Drosophila melanogaster: one gene and its partner. The protein of the gene in region 2 purifies or fractionates together with the protein of the main gene of each other region. This does not show direct contact. Each region holds a gene or a part of one and is shown on either strand. Other genes may lie near its edges. The genes, in order: dgt6 and msd1.

Evidence for each region.
Region 1: the proteins of msd1 (region 2) and dgt6 purify together in Drosophila melanogaster (affinity purification with western blotting; 5 studies listed by BioGRID, with this or other methods). This does not show direct contact.

What each region holds. Positions count from the first base shown.
Region 1 is NT_033777.3:29,123,876-29,132,964, forward strand, and holds dgt6 (dim gamma-tubulin 6), read right to left. Parts: upstream 7,098-9,089; 5' UTR 7,017-7,097; coding exon 6,155-7,016; intron 6,089-6,154; coding exon 5,654-6,088; intron 5,593-5,653; coding exon 5,072-5,592; intron 5,006-5,071; coding exon 4,859-5,005; 3' UTR 4,709-4,858; downstream 1-4,708. Other genes in the region: Ctl2 (choline transporter-like 2), read left to right, coding at 1,539-1,862, 1,932-3,998; Vha100-1 (vacuolar H[+] ATPase 100kD subunit 1), read left to right, coding at 7,834-7,950, 8,251-8,427, 8,501-8,629.
Region 2 is NT_037436.4:1,328,000-1,335,049, reverse strand, and holds msd1 (mitotic spindle density 1), read right to left. Parts: upstream 3,307-7,050; 5' UTR 3,269-3,306; coding exon 3,232-3,268; intron 3,177-3,231; coding exon 2,797-3,176; 3' UTR 2,724-2,796; downstream 1-2,723. Other genes in the region: CG2211 (uncharacterized protein), read left to right, coding at 529-537, 594-1,361, 1,418-1,633; msd5 (mitotic spindle density 5), read left to right, coding at 1,937-2,698; ND-ACP (NADH dehydrogenase (ubiquinone) acyl carrier protein), read right to left, coding at 3,591-3,770, 3,880-4,008, 4,101-4,187, 4,760-4,909; Myo61F (myosin 61F), read right to left, coding at 5,635-5,649, 5,730-5,826, 5,889-7,050. UniProt on the Drosophila melanogaster protein: As part of the augmin complex, plays a role in centrosome-independent generation of spindle microtubules.

The DNA of each region.
Region 1 (9,089 bases), on a different chromosome or scaffold from region 2:
CGTACGGGATACGGAGCTCCGACAAAGGCTTCCCGCTTTCAGTGGTCCGGTGACTTTCGCCGGAGTAGTGACTCCGTCCCAGGAAACCAGCTAAACAAAAAGCCCCCAGCCGCTCGTAAAAAAGTGTCATGAGACAATAAAGGAACTTTAAGAAAGAAAGGAAAAGCGACGAGAAGAGTGGAGCTCCTTTGTTACATCTCTGGAAGAATCGTTCGGCTCCGAAGCAAAGGTGAGTAATACTGCTTCATTACGAAATTACGGGGCCTTGTACATTTGTAGTTCCAAAAAACAACAAGGGGAAATCGTTCATATGGGAAACAAGAGACTACCATTATAAGATAAGATCAGAACTGCGACTGCTTTCTTTTATCTCAAGTGACGTAGTCCAAGGTGAACACAGTAAACACTCGATGCAAGGACAACTTAGGTTTAAACCAGTTTTCTACACTACAAATTATGCAAATGGGTTAGATATCAAAACGAACACCCGTTTTCTTATCATGTCTACAAGTTTCTTTGCAAGAAAAAAAGGTTAGCTACTGAGAGTGTTGCCCGTAGCACTGCTTGAATGATAAACTCTACTCCCAGACATTGAAATTCCTACACCAAAATGGAGTTACGGCAATCGACCTTGAAACATGTGGCCCCAAATGCCTTGCCAACCCAAATTGGTTTCCCATTTTCTATGAAAACTTGTGTGTTTTTTTGGTAATTCATCTATTAAAGGCGGCAGCCAGTTTTTCATCTCAAATGGACAGAAGCCGCACACAAAAATAAAGCGATACACATAAACAATCAAACAACAGCAACAAGTGAGCGCACAAATTTAATTTGCTTTTTAATGCGTCATTATTGCCGATTTGCGACATGCTCGAGCTGCTTTACTGCTACCTCTTCGCAGATTTTCGCATCCCCAAGAGGTTCGTACAGTTGCGATCGCTATCGTTATCAGGGGAGCTCTTAAACCGAATGAGCGATACTTTATTTATTTCTGCTCTCTATTTGCTTTCATGATTAATTAAATGAGTCTGCTGTAGGAGAATGTATTAGCAATAATTATGGATAATTCACCAGCCCATCCAAAGCCATTCTTAAAGTTCATTTATCCAGTAGAAAACTTTGTTACAGAGCTAGGTTCATTGATCATTAAAAGGTTAAACAGTCTTATTCATAAACATAGGAAGAAATATTATTTAATTGTGGTTCAATCCAAAAGGGATCGTTGGCCGCCTGTCGTTGATATAATCAAACCGCACTTTGTCGCCGACAATTTCATTTACTCATCGTACTTTCCCCAACCAAACTAACAAATAAACTAGAACAAAAAGAGCCGCTGGTGGTTGGCTTCACCGCCAACACGACCACCCACTACAGATTCGGTTTTCCATTTTTAAAACAATGACGCATGCACGGAAATAAATTACATGATATACGCCTGACAATCTCATTACCTAGAGACGACGACCCATCGATAGTGGCTCTATGTATATACATACATAAAACACTCGGTTCTTCTTGGACTCTTTCAGTAGAGAGCGATGACGGAAAGCGTGGAGCTGATGAACAAGTACGGCGAGCCACTGCGCTACGACCGGAACTTCACGGGACCGAGGCAGAGGGATCGCAGCTGCACGGATGTGCCCTGCCTGCTGTTATTCGTCCTCTTCCTGGGCGGATGGGCCTTCATAGCCCAATACGCCATCAGGAACGGCGATCTCAACAAACTGCTGGTGCCCACGGACTCCTTTAACCGAAAGTGTGGCATGGACTCCGGAGTGCTGAACAAGAAAAACCTATTCTTTTTCGACTTGAATCAGTGCATCGATCCACTTGTACCCATCACTGGATGTGACACTCCACAGGTGAGATACCATTAACATCAAATTTGCAAGGAGTTGATCTTACTTTTAATGAAATACGTATTTCAACAGGTTTGTGTGGAGACTTGTCCCCGAGAGACGTTCGTCTGGGACACTATGAAGGACAAACAAAGTTTTGCGGAGCTGCATAGTCGCCTCATCTGCTTGTCGGAGGAGCACAAGGCGCAGATTCGCACCAAATCGGACATTCAGGATGCCATTAACCAGAACCAGTGCGCACGCTGGTACATCAAGAGTGCTCCATTCCTCAAACGATGCCTCTTCGAGTTCTCGCAGGGCGTGTGTGATTATATTCCCTCGTTTCTGCTAAATGGGGGAAGGTCGAGGCGGGAGCTGCATATGTTGCCCGGAAACGCCACCACAGAAGTTCAAATGCAGGCCGATGTCATGTACCAGAAAATGACGGATGCCCAGGCTCTCGTTGTTCCACAGGCGAATGGCAAACAGACTCCAGTGGACGAGGAACCGATCATCCAGTGCAAGCGCAGACTCAACGAGGCTGTCATCAAGGAGAAGATGATGCAGACCGATACGAGGCTGGCCAAGCTCGTTGGTAACATGGTGGCCCACTTCTACAATGGCACAAACGACGCCCAGCTTTTGGGAGAAAAGATTGTCGAGGATCTTGTCAACTCCTGGTCGATCGTTTTGGTGGCTTGCTTCTGCACCCTGGTAGCCTCACTGATCTACATCGCTCTAATGCGCTGGCTCTCGGCTCCGATTCTCTGGTTCTCCATCTTCGGCGTGCTTATCGGCTTGCTGGTGGGTATTTACTTCTCCGTAAAGCAGTACATCCACTGGGAGAATACGCCTACGGTTCCCGTACACGGCTTGAATCTACACTCCACGGTCAAGAATGTCCTGCAAAACCAGAACACCTGGCTCTACCTGTCCATCTTCGTAGGCGTGTGCTTCGTGGTTATCCTGTTGCTGGTAATTGTGCTAAGAAAGCGCATCCGGATAGCGATCGCCCTAACCAAGGAGGGCAGCAAGGCGGTGAGCAGCGTGATCAGCACCGTGTTCTTTCCCATCTTCTCCTGGATACTCTTCATTGCCGCCATAGCGTTTGCCATTGGCGTGGGCCTGTATCTGGGCTCAATTGGCGATCCTTCGTTTAGAATGGTGCGACAGCTGACGAAAAGTGGCGAAGTGACCACCGAGGACTGCGTCTGCGAAGGTCCAGCCATCAACTACACAGTGGGCGGATCCTGCAAGCCAGAAGTGTTCCAGCAATATTGTAGCGTTCGGCTGACCTCATTTTTCCAGAACCGAAACCCTTGCTTGAACACCACCTGCAGCTTTGACTCGATTAACAATCCAATCGAGATTAAGTGGGCCATCTTCTACAACGTCTTTGGCTTCCTCTGGCTGAGCTTCTTCATCTCCGCCTTCAGCTACATGGTGCTGGCCTCGACCTTCGCCCGATGGTACTGGACCTTCAAAAAGAGGGATGTGCCCTACTTCACCCTTACAAGGGCATTCTTTCAAACTGCTGTCTACCATCTGGGCACCGTGGCCTTTGGTTCGCTCATCCTGGCCATCGTCCGGCTGATCCGTCTGGTGCTGGAGTACATCCACGAGAAGCTGAAGAAGTACGACAATGCGGTGACACGAGCCATCCTCTGCTGCATGCGCTGCTTCTTCTGGTTGCTGGAGACCTTCCTGAAGTTCCTCAATCGGAATGCCTACATCATGTGCGCCATTCATGGCAAGAACTTCTGCTCCAGTGCCGCGGACTCGTTTAATCTGATTATGAGGAACTTCCTGCGTGTGGTGACGCTGGATCAGGTCACGGACTTTTTGTTCTTTTTGTCGAAACTGCTGCTAACCGCAGGGGCGGGGGCGTCCACCTACTACTTCCTGGACAATAATCCGAGCATTATTCGGCTAAATTACATAGCAGTGCCCACCACGGTGGTGGTAATTGCCGCCTTTCTCATAACGAGCGTGTTTTTCGGTGTGTACTCGACGGCAGTGGACACACTGTTTCTGTGCTTCCTGGAGGACTGCGAGCGCAACGACGGCTCACCGGAGAAGCCGTTCTTCATGTCCAAGCAGCTAATGAAGATTCTTGGCAAGAAGAACAATCTGCCGCCGCGTCAGCGCCGCGGAAAGTAGGAGACAGCAGTGCAAATTATAACTTTATTGAAGTAAAACATATATATATATATTTATTATAGCCCAAAACGAAACGATCGGGGTTGTGAGCGATTGCTCAACCGGCTGCAATTGGGTTTGCATTAAATGCACGCTCCTTTGCCAATACTCTTAATCTTTAATCTAGTGTATATAATACGCCAGTATCCGTATCCATATGTAAAGTTTTTTGTGCGGCTAGACATGTGATAGGCGCGGACCATAAAGACCAAAAGTAATACCATACAATAACATGTATACAGAGACACAAAAGTACATATCTCACATTCATGAAGTTTAAGTTAACGATAATTATTATAATTTTCGAATTTAATAAAAATGAATTCATTGAAGACACACTTTTCAGTTTTGTTCTTATTTTATTTCTCCATCATTATATTCACTCATTTTTTTTTATTTTTATACAATTTGTTTCATACTTTTGCCGTTCATTCATCTAGAACGCTCAACCCACTCATTTCAGAAAGTCTGATTTTGCAAGGATGTAACAGATCGCTGAAGCCGCAATGAAGAACAATAGCTATAAGATATGACTTTTAAAAGTATATATATAATAAACCTTAATACTGCCTCAAAGGTTGTTTATTTCAATAATAATCTTAAGTCCTGAAACTCGAATTTCGAAAAGCCTGGTATACTTATAGATGTATTTAAAAGAAGAAAATTGCTTTCAAGCTGAAAGATTTTAGTTTTAATTTCATATGGGTAATATTAAAAACTAAAGTAAAAAGTATATTTCGTTTAAAAACCTCATAACCAATTAGAAAAAGAATACAAAATCTATTACCTAAACAATATTGGCCATTCGCGATTCCCGTGGACTAAAAGATAATATCCTTGAGCACGCTATCGCTGATGTTCTGCAGGTCATCCTCACCACCAATCTGATCAAAATCGAATTTATGCGAGACATTGAATGCATTCTTATCGTTTTCAATGTTGAAATCGGGATCAAGCTGCAGTGAGTCCTGTAAAAAAAAGGAACTTGAGATTCGTATATTTCGTAGGCACGTATTATTGTTGATCCCACTTACATTGATTGTTCTGTCGTTGAGCTGAAGACGTGGCGCGACATCTTGCTGGTGGCTCTCGGTATGTGGAACCAGTGCATCTAGGCGTCCAGATGGCGAGGTGCTAAGATTAAGCACATTCCGTGATACCTCCAGGACCTTTATAACCGCAGCGCTCTTGGCGATCAGTGAAGTGTTGTTTTCCGAAGTGCGCGGAATGCGCTCAATTCGGGTGCACTCGCTACCACTCAAGGGTGTAAAGGGATCGCTGGGATCCGTTGGTGAGGTCTGAGGTGAGATCACTGCTGCTCCTGGCACCGGCGCCTCATCGAAACCGAATGACGCTTGCATTTGCTTCCACTTGCTGCCCAGGGAGGAGAGATTCGCCTGCGGAGCTGCCTTGACCTTGGAGGTGTTTTTGTGAATGGTGCGCAGCATTTGCATGGGATCGTTGATCTTGGATCGGTTTAAAGTGCCATTAAGGTCAATGCCGGTCGATTGATCAAGGGCTTTCAGCTTGCGTGCTGATCGAGGCGGCGCAGGTGCTGAAAAGGAAAACTCATAAGGATGAGGGTCACTAAGCGAACGGTTTAGTTCACTCCTTACCGAGTAAGCTGTTGCTTAAGGCATCAAACTGTTTGCCATTGAAGTCATCTTGCAGTGCAAGACGCACTGGGGCATTGCGACCGCCACCGCCGCCCATGTCGATTCTGATGGGAGGCGTGGAAACAAATTTGGAGCTGATAACCGATTCGAAGCGAGGCGTGGCCGGCTGAAGCGTCTGTACCCTGGCGGAGCCACTTGCATTGGCACTTCCCTTGTCCTTTTTGGACGGTTCGTTTAGTTTCTTGAGTAAATTGTTCAATTGGACTTCGGACTGTGAAAGTTCCACTCGAAGAGCCTGCAAATCGGTGGTGACAAACGCATTCGATTCGTTGTAGTGGTCATTAGCATCCAGTTGCTCGGCAATTGTGCCGCTGATCCGATTAAAGCCGTTTAAGAGCGCATCCATTTTTGATGCGCCCAAAGGATCGTAGAAATCTGCGAAGGAATTGAAAAACCATTTAAATTTAAAGACCTGCAAGGATGCAACCAAAGATGTCTCACCTCCTTCTGTGACTGCATCACAGTCGAACAGCACTCGCATGCCCCGAAGTGCCTTCTCCACCGCCTCCTTGCTCTGGTTGTTCTCGGCTTGCTTCACCTGGAAAAGATCGATGGCCTCCTTGAGACCGCACAGAGATGCCTCCAGGTCGAATTTCCTTTCGGTGGGTTGGGTAATGACCCGCTCCACGCCGAGTGCAGCGGTGGCCTCGAACTCATCCAGAAAGCCATCGTCCGCCAGTTGCTCCTCGGGCACTCCCATGTCTGCAGACAGATCGGCCATCAGGCGTCTGATCTTCTGGGTCTTGTCCCGCAACAGGGCCGTATTCTCCTCCAGATTGACCACATACGAAGAAGCGTACTCCTTCATCACGGCATTTTGGCGGGCCATGACCTTGGCGCTCACGTTTGGTGTTCCCGCCTCTAAGCCAAGTGACTTCTCGCGCTGCTTGATGAGCTCCTGGATCACGAAGCCCACGAACTCGAGCAGGAAGTTGATGAACCTCATGCCTCCGGGCATCACCACCAGATACGACTTGATGTTGGCCCAATGCAGCTGGTGCTTCTCGTTCAGATGCTTCAGATACTCCACCGTGCTGGAGCGAAAGTTCGCCTCCGACTTCTTGTCGGTGATGGGCCAGAAGAAGCGGCGTTTGAACTCCGCGGGATCCAGCAGACGGAAGAGGTAGTGCATCACATGCACGAAGGCCACCTGGTTGGGCTTGAGGAACATGTCCCAGGCAATCAGCTTACGCAGCTCGTCCGGCAGGGGGTGCACCAGGGCCAGTCCCTGCAGCTTCCTGTGGAGCTTCTCGCTCTGCTCCTTCTCTTCGGCCTTCCACGGTGCAATTATGGTCCGATCCATATTTTAGCACAGAAATTAAGTAAAATATGGCGGTTTAGTTTGAAGTTCTTTGTTTTTGTTGCTGCCCAGTGTTACCAAGTGGTTGAATTCAACTGAATGAAGACGTTCCCACTGCCTGTTTATATTGACGAAAAATGTTATATAAAAGGGATAAATCTATTTATTTTCCCTAGGAATAGTAACTGCGAATAGCATTTGTGTTTTTTAAATGTTTTTTATAATATTTCCCAGATATTTGTTTTTAAGTACAAATTTATTTCCCTAGTTACTCGATTGGTATAAATCCAATGACCTGCCACGGTCACACTAGATTCATAGTTCGGAAATTTGTCGGTTGCTGGAGTTTGTGGACGAATTTATATTTAATTTTTAAGCACTTGGTAATTAACTAATCGACGTTCATTTCGAAGTGACCCCCTGACAAACTAAATAGTTTTCGGATAAAGCTCGAGCCCAGTCACTGGCTGACCCCCAACGAGCCGAAAACCTTGGCATCCGGGTCCAACGTAGCACTTTCTTTTTGTCCGCGGCGGAGAAAAATCAATATACGCATGGGGTATAGAAATCGAATCTCGGCGCATATATAGTATAGATTACAGACAAATAATCTGGGGGACAAGCGAACGTCCGCCCACCGAAACGATAACCAAATCAGCATGAAAATATGTATGCGACACGGCCGCAAAACTTAGGAAGAAACCCAGTTTGGCCATGAATCATGCAATTGAATGGGCCCATTGTGTACTATATATGTACATATGCATTCTGATTTAGTGTCTGTTCTCCATTCGCAGATATCGGGAATCCGGCTGCCACAATGGGTTCCCTATTCCGCAGCGAGGAAATGGCGCTGTGCCAGCTGTTCCTGCAGAGCGAGGCGGCCTACGCCTGCGTCTCCGAGTTGGGAGAACTGGGATTGGTCCAGTTCCGAGATGTGAGTAGGATGGGTTACATAAAGCTGCGGTCGAGGCAGCCGCACTGACTAACCATAAACCACAATCATACCCCTTACCTCATTAGCGAATTCGGTATTCCATGAAACGTCCCCTTTAACGCGAATGCAAAGTAAATGCAAAGCTGGTGACACCAGCTACTAAGTGTATAGTATAACTACGTGTGTTACCTCATTTAAATAAAATTGAAAAATATAGTGGCATAAGTGCTATATCTTGATCGCACAAATGAAGTATCTTTGAGATCCCCCAATAACAAACCAATCTTTTGAAATCCGCAGCTCAATCCCGATGTCAACGCTTTCCAGAGGAAGTTCGTCAACGAGGTGCGCCGCTGCGATGAGATGGAGCGCAAGCTGCGTTACCTGGAGAAGGAGATCAAGAAGGACGGCATCCCCATGTTGGACACCGGGGAGAGTCCCGAGGCCCCGCAGCCCCGCGAGATGATCGACCTGGAGGTATACGCCGCCATACTCCCTGTTTTCTGCTAAACACTGTTGAACTTATATGGCTTTCTTGTCTGCTGCTCAGGCCACCTTTGAGAAGCTGGAGAACGAGCTGAGGGAGGTGAATCAGAACGCCGAGGCCCTGAAGCGCAACTTTCTGGAGCTGACCGAGCTGAAGCATATTTTGCGCAAAACCCAAGTGTTCTTCGATGAGGTAAGCTGCGGCATGAGTAACTCCATATGGGTATCAGCTAACAAACTGCGATCGGTTACCGATTTACCATTAACAAATGCCGGCCATTGAAGCGGCCGGTAACTAACCAAATTTTCTAAGCAATAACCAATTTCCCAACCGACAACACAAGTGTGGCAGCCACGACTTCTAGTCACATAAGCAATCTATCCCAAATTACACTCTAAAATTATTTCCCCGTATCTCCCCACTCGGCACGTATATCCTCCTTCTCTGCTTCCAAAGGCAAACGAAGTGTGCTTTCTTACCCTTCAGTTTGAGTTTGTACATATATATCGTAATGTGCGTTTGATATCAGTTGATGGTTATTGTTTCTTTCGGTCGCGTTCCTGGGCAATCAGAGGAAAGCCATGGGGCAATAGGTTCTAAAATATATTTATAAAAAAAGGTCTTGGAACGCCCTCTTCCTTCTGGCTGCTTG
Region 2 (7,050 bases):
AATGAAAACGTAAATGCACGCACTATTCAAGACACATTTTTGAGTTATTGTCACGTTGGCTTTGTACTAATCAGCAGAAAATCCCAGCCCGAACGATCTTTCCAAATTTTTAGCTGCTGGCCGATACTACGACCGAGCAAAGAGCGAAAAGTGAATGACAAGTGTGACCGCGGGCGAACCGTTAAAATATACGAAGAACGGCTGACAGGGCTGGCGAGTGCATGGGCACAGTTTGTGACTGAAGCCAGAAAAAATACTAAGCGTGACTAAAATTAGTTCAGTGTATAAATGTTAAAAATTACTTAAATATTTTTGACAATATAAGTGAAAGCAATACTTATACCCGCACATCATTTACAGCCCTATTAACATTTTAAGTTGTAAATATCTAAACTACCAAAACGAAATATTTGGTAAATTATGAAGCCCTGACAACTCTGTAGTCGATAGGCAAAAGAGCTCGCGCCATGAGCCTATCGTTCTCAGCTGTTTGGAAGCAAAACAAAGGGGAAGGACTATCAATTGGAAATGTTTCTGGTGAGGAATAATAAGTACTGAAGAAATGCAAAATAATAAAGGGCTGAACGGTCCAGTTCATCAGCCGTCCCACGCGGACGCTGGGCAACCGAATGCAGGCGGTTCGGGAGCGCTTGGGTCCGGACTTAGCTGATCAACTGGACGCTCTGCATCGTAATGTGATGCGGACTGGTCTGGTGTCCACACAGGAGCTGGAGGAGGCATTCCGCAAAACGCGCGACATGGACCACAACCCGAACCGGTTGAATCTGCTCTGGCTGCTGGGCATCGTGTTCTTCATCATGGTGGCCACCCCGGTCTTTTATGAGACCATCTCGTTCCTGCTCGGAGTGCGTTGCTTTCTGCCCAACAACTACTTGGTATGGGAGGCCACCAGGCCCATTAGTGACTGCGAGTTTTGTAAAGGGGTGAGGGCTCCCCTGATCTTGGCCAATCTCACCATGGAGGAGTTTGCACCGCACGCGTACTCCTCAATGCCCATCATTGTGAAGAGGGCGGTGGCTCACTGGCCAGCACAAAAGAACCTCAGCTTTGCCTTCATAAAAGAATTGTACGAAAGTGTCCCGGGAGCAATGGACTCAGATTGCCAGTTTCTGCACTTCAACTCTGATCTCAAGTCGCTGAAGCATGTGTTTTCCATGTCCGCGGAGCGTTCAAATCTTACTCAAGGAGTGCCCTGGTTCGTGGGCTGGAGTGTCTGCCAGCCGGCCGTCCTGGCGGAGCTCAGAAAGCTGTATCCCCGCCCGCATTTCCTGCCCTTCGATGCTGAAATGCCTCACACGGACTTCATATTAATGGGCTACGAGCAAGGGGCTGTGATGCATGTAAGTAAAAACCAAGAAATCAACGAATATTATGACTAATCTTTCAATTATTATAGCTTGATTACATTCCCCGCCTGTTGTGGCAAGCTCAGTTAAGTGGCAACAAGACCTGGTTTCTGGCACCTGCTCCTGAATGTGACCACCAGTGTCAGCCCTTCTCCTTCTATGTGGAGCCCGGAGATGCTGTGTTGGTGGACACACGCATCTGGTACCATGCCAATTCAATTCCCAAGGGTCAGTTTTCGCTCACCGTTCAGTCCGAGTATGGATGAGATGCACCTTGTAGTTCTGAGACTCAGAATTCAAACAGCCATGTTAGTCCAAACTTTCATATGGTATAAACTCCCTATTAAGATCTCGTTAAAACCACTGAAGACTTGAAATACGTGTAGTGCACTCTAAAAATTGTGCTTTTAAAAATAAAAACCCAAGTAATCCGTAAGCGATCATAATTTGTATAGAACTTTTGTTTTCAAATTTAAACCGCCACAGCTTGCGTTATCGATTTCCGATAGATGCGGCGCAGGCCATTCAAACGAAGTTATCAAAGGAGAAGTGAAGCGTAAACAATAAAAATGGAAACTAATGTAGATTTCAGCAGCATTTCATCCAAGTTGTACAGAAAGTACGCGCAACATGTGAGAAACCTAAAGGACGTGTGCGTATCCAAGACGGTGATGAAACCGGGGGCCTTCTTTGACAGCCTGCAGCAGATGATGGAGGAGGAGGCAGCAGCCACTACGCCCCCGAGGGATCTTAGCTCGGTAGCCGACTATGCGGAGCTCTTCAAGACCTTGGAAGAGTACCCGGCCAACCTGCAGAAAATGCCCAAGAAGCGGGAGCTACAACGTACCAACTCAACGCTCCTGCGAGGAGCAGACGAGTCGGTGGCCATGGGCATCAACACATCCAACGTTTCGCTGAGTCTGACGCGTCTGGAGGAGCAGCGCAGTGCCGTGGACGTGTACAATGATTTTAAGGGTTTCCAGCGAAAGCTGGCCAAGATCTACGACGAGGCAGCCGCTCTGGACACCACAGAATCCATATACAAGCAGAAGCTGACGCAGCTCCATGGATTTGCGCAGCAGCTGGAAAAGCTCATGCCAACCGGCGGTGAGTCTCCGCCAGATGCTTTTACATCCGAGCAGCAGGAGAAGCTTCTGACCATAGCCGCCAATATGGAACAGCTCAACTACCTGCGCTCCAACAGCCTCCAGCTGCCCAATCCCAATGAGATACTCGCCACCGGGAGTCTTGCCGCTCGCCTGGAGATGTTCGTAGAGGTGCTTACCTATACGCTTCTCCAAGTCAGCAGCTACAATATGGCCATGATTTGAAAACCTCGCTTAAAGAGCTTTAAATACAAATCAAATGTTTAATTTATTTAAATTATTTTTCAACTATAACATAATAATAAATTCTAAAAATGGATGAGCTAGGGGGAATCCTCGCTGGCATACTGCTCTTCCTGTGAGTTCTTCATCTGGCCCACGGTGTCGTAGAGCGCCACCAGCTTACGCACGGAGCTGCCAAGGTGCTCCACGCGATGCCTGTAGGCCAGGCAGCCCTCCAGAGCGCTGTATGTCTCCTCCCGCTGGTCACTGCTAGACATGAGCAGCTTGAAGTTCTCCAGGATCTTGGACAGGGTCATCTCAGCCTCCGGCCTGAGGTTGTACATCTTCTGGGTCTCCGACAAAGCCACATTCTGACTGAATGCCTTGCTGTTGGACTCGATGTGGAGCAATGTGTTGTTCGACCGCTCCATTATCTCGTCTATCTTAGCCAGCTGGCGGTTCATGGTCTGCCGATTGGCCGCTGAAATTGGAAGCACGGAATAGAACGCGTGTCGGTGGTTTAAAGATATATTTACCCATTCCCGCCAACATTTTGTCCACAGCGTCTGACATTTCGAATATTCTGTTTGTAATGCTAGCAGATTAACGTGACCGTCGCTGCGTATCTAAAATACACAAGGCTTTCTAAAACAATCGAAAGACCAACGTTTCTATCGAAATTTAAATTTAACCGCCAGTACTAAATGACTCGTTTATTTATTTGGATAGTTAATTTATTAGCTGCTATTCCGCAGTTAATTATAGCCCTCGTGTACAATTGCTGACTACAAGTTAATTTAACGTTTGGTTTATTCAGTTGATCAAATTGTATTTGACTTGTTTTCTATTTAAATTTAAGTGTAATCCGTTCAATGGCTTGCATTACAATTACAATTTACTCGTACACATCCTCCTTGTCGGCGACGTACTTAATAATGTCGGCAGGTTTAAGCAGCTTCTCGGCATCAGAGTCGGGGATCTCGAAACCGAACTCGTCCTCCATGGCCATGATGACCTCCACGTGGTCCAAGGAATCCAGTCCCAAGTCGTTGATGAAGTGCGACTCAACGTTGAGCTGTAAATGCGAGCCATTAGCATTGGGTATTCAAAGGTTTCATCAGCTTTGTTCAGTTCTGATTTCTGAGGCGACCATTGCACTGGCAAAGGCAATATGTGGCGTTTACCTTGCTGGGATCGATCTTGTCGTAGAGCTTGAGCACAAGCAAGACGCGCTCATTGATCAGCTTCAGCGAGAGCGGCGGTTTCGCCGAGTATCTGCGCACCAATTGCGTTTGCCAGCGACCACGGCACTCCTGGTTTTTGGCCGGCCCGAGAAAAAAAGGAAGGAAACAAAGACCGGATTAGTGGCGCCATGCAATGGGTACTTTACCTTTTCGGCGGTCACTTTGTCGTAGGCGGAGACAACCTTTAGCACGCGGAACTTGATGTCCTCGATGGTGCTCTTGGCCGAGTAGCTGCGCACACCGAACTTCTGCGAATGTTAATGTCTAGTGAATTTTCGTCTCTATATGAATAATTGCATTGGTAGTTCATCTACGACTTATGGTGCATACAACTTAGCTAATTCTTCAATGAGCAGTGTAAATATATACGCAATTTAAACGAGGGTGGTTCGATGGTGTATGATCAACTGATTAAATACCGCGAAAACTATTGCTTGGATTGGCGTGGAAACATATTTAGATATTTAACAAACTGAAATCACATGTTTTAAAACCGCTACATTTTAAGGTCACTTCTAGAGGATTTTCACTGTAGTACAATCAACCGCACACAAGTGCGAGCACCGGTGTTGCAGGTGTATGTGTGTGTGTGTGCGATAGGGAAACAATCATGTTTTATGCAAAATAATGTGATGCAATCGAATTGGGTGGTTCGACGGCCACATGGCGAGGATCTTCTGTTGCGTTCATGATTGCAAGCACTTAATTGAATGTTTTGAAACTCGTAGATCACGAAACCCCGCCGTTTGCGATGAGGTTAGGTCCTCAACTGCGATTGGGGCTCCTGCAACGGAAGGGACCGCTTTGGACGTTCGCTTACTTGGCTCAACTGGCTGGTCATCGATGGCACGGCGATCCTGTGCATCATCCTGGAGGCCTGTGATTGGATGAGAATGCCGGAGGCGACCCTCCTTGGGGCCAAAGTGGCCGCCAGTCGACTGCAGCTGCGCGCGATCTGTGTGAACGACATCTCGGTTCTCCTGCAACGGAAACGCAGCGGGTTAGTATCGCATCTCTGCAGACGGTGCACGAGTGCAGGTCTCGTATTTTGGGCGATATTTACGCTGAGTTTTCAAGATTATGTAAAAGTGCTGGAGCAAGAAAAAGACAGCAAGGTAGCAGTGTGACCGTATGCGCAATGTACTAAGCTGTTTCTCAACTTACGCAAATAAATACTAAAAATACTTAATACTTGAATAATGAGTAAGTAACTTTCCCAACTATAATTTACAGTTAAATAATTGTTAGTGGTATATTAATTCACATGAATTTCAGTAGTAACGTTAGCTGAAATCTTCTTTTGTGAGTTGGGCACGACTTTAACGAGATTTTTAAAGTCTGGAGCACCGAACTGACGTTTCAAAGCAAAGTTATCGACTGCTGCTTTTGCCAATCGAGTGGGCGGTTCTTTTTGAAAGAAACGATATAAGAGACTAGAAAAATTGCCACGTTTCCTCTTTGAAAAACCACAAGTTAGTGATAAGAACCCAATTCATATACAAATTGTAATATATTTATATGTATTTTTAAACAATATACATTTAGTTGGAACATTAGTCATATAAAATCCGAATACACAACTCTCAGGTGCTGCAGTAACAAAAATACATAGTTACACTATAAATTACACGAATATAACAAAACAAGGTCGTTTGATTTAAAGCCACTTTTCTGAAGAAAGTCATAGTAAATTCCTTATTGCGTTCCAATCTGAAAAGAAATATTTGGTGTGTGAGGTCAGCACGATAATGGGCGTTTCCTCATGAGGAGCTGGAGCTCGCACTACTTACGATAACTAGATGGCCCTTATCACGAACCACTCCGGGCTCGGCGCCGGTTTGGATGTCGATGACGCCGCCCTTGCCCTTGACTACGTTGTGCTCCAACCTGGAAACGAATGCAACACTTAGTCAAGAGAAAACCACTGGGATAACCGATGTGCAACTTACGAATTTCTGTCCACAATGGAGACGATGGAGGCAGTTCCCACGGTGTCAATGATATACGTGCTGAACTCGATTATGCGCGGAATGATCAGAATCAAGTCGCCCTTGTCCTTTTTCAGGTCGAGCGGTATGCGGATGACCATCAGGTCGTCGTTGTGGTTCGTCAGCGTGAAGTCGATCTTGTCTAGCGGCAGGCGGTGCTTCTGCTTGTAGGTCTTGCCGTCGAGGACATATATAGCCTTGTTGCTCAGCAGGATAAAGCGGTCGCGGGACTTGTAGCCGTGCCGATCGAACTTGGTGCAGAAGGACTGGTACTTAAGCTGCTCGCTGCCGAAGGTGCTGGCCACGAAGTCGTTGACTCGCTGGATGTGCTCCTTGGGGATGCGGTCCTCCTGGAACCAAGTGGACACACTGCTCGCGTAGTTGTTCTTCTTGCCCTTAAAGACCTTCTCCGCCAGGACCTTCAGCTCGAATTGCCTCTTCTGCTGCGGCGTCAGTTTAAGGCGGTAGATCCTGGCCAAGTGGAGACGGTGCAGGCGGTGAAGGATGCCGGAGGCCTCCTCGCAGTGCCCAGGGGCATGGGGCCAGCTCTTATCCAGTACCTTGGTGGGCAGCTCCTTCGCCAGTCGAAGCAGCCACATACGCTTGGCGTTGGCAATAAACTCTTCATTGAAGCCATTCGGGGCATCGTTCCGGGTGATGAAGCCCTTGATAAAGGCACGAATCTTATCGGCGGCCTCCCTGCGCTTCTTGGCCGCCTGCTGTGCCAACTTTCGGCGACAATAGCTCTGCATTATGATCACCTGAGCACGCAGTTTCAGATACTTCCTCCTTTGCATCAATCCCTTCCAGTGGGCCTGGATGATGGCCGCTATCTCATGTTTCTTCTCCTGGTAGGCATCCTCCGTATCGAACAAGGTTCTCGGCCAGCGGATGAATAGTTTCGTCTCGCCCACCCTGTACTTTTCCTCGTCCCAGCCCAAATCTTTCACCAGCTGCTGGACACCCGCTTTCGGGCCACCGGGACCCTTGTAATTGGGCCAGGTGGACTTGCTCAGGGACTTGTAGCGCTCCAGGAAGAGCTCATACGTTCGTCGGTAGGCGAAACCAGCTCGCCTCACACGCAGATTCTCCATCAGGCCAAGGTACTTGACCTGGTGCAGTA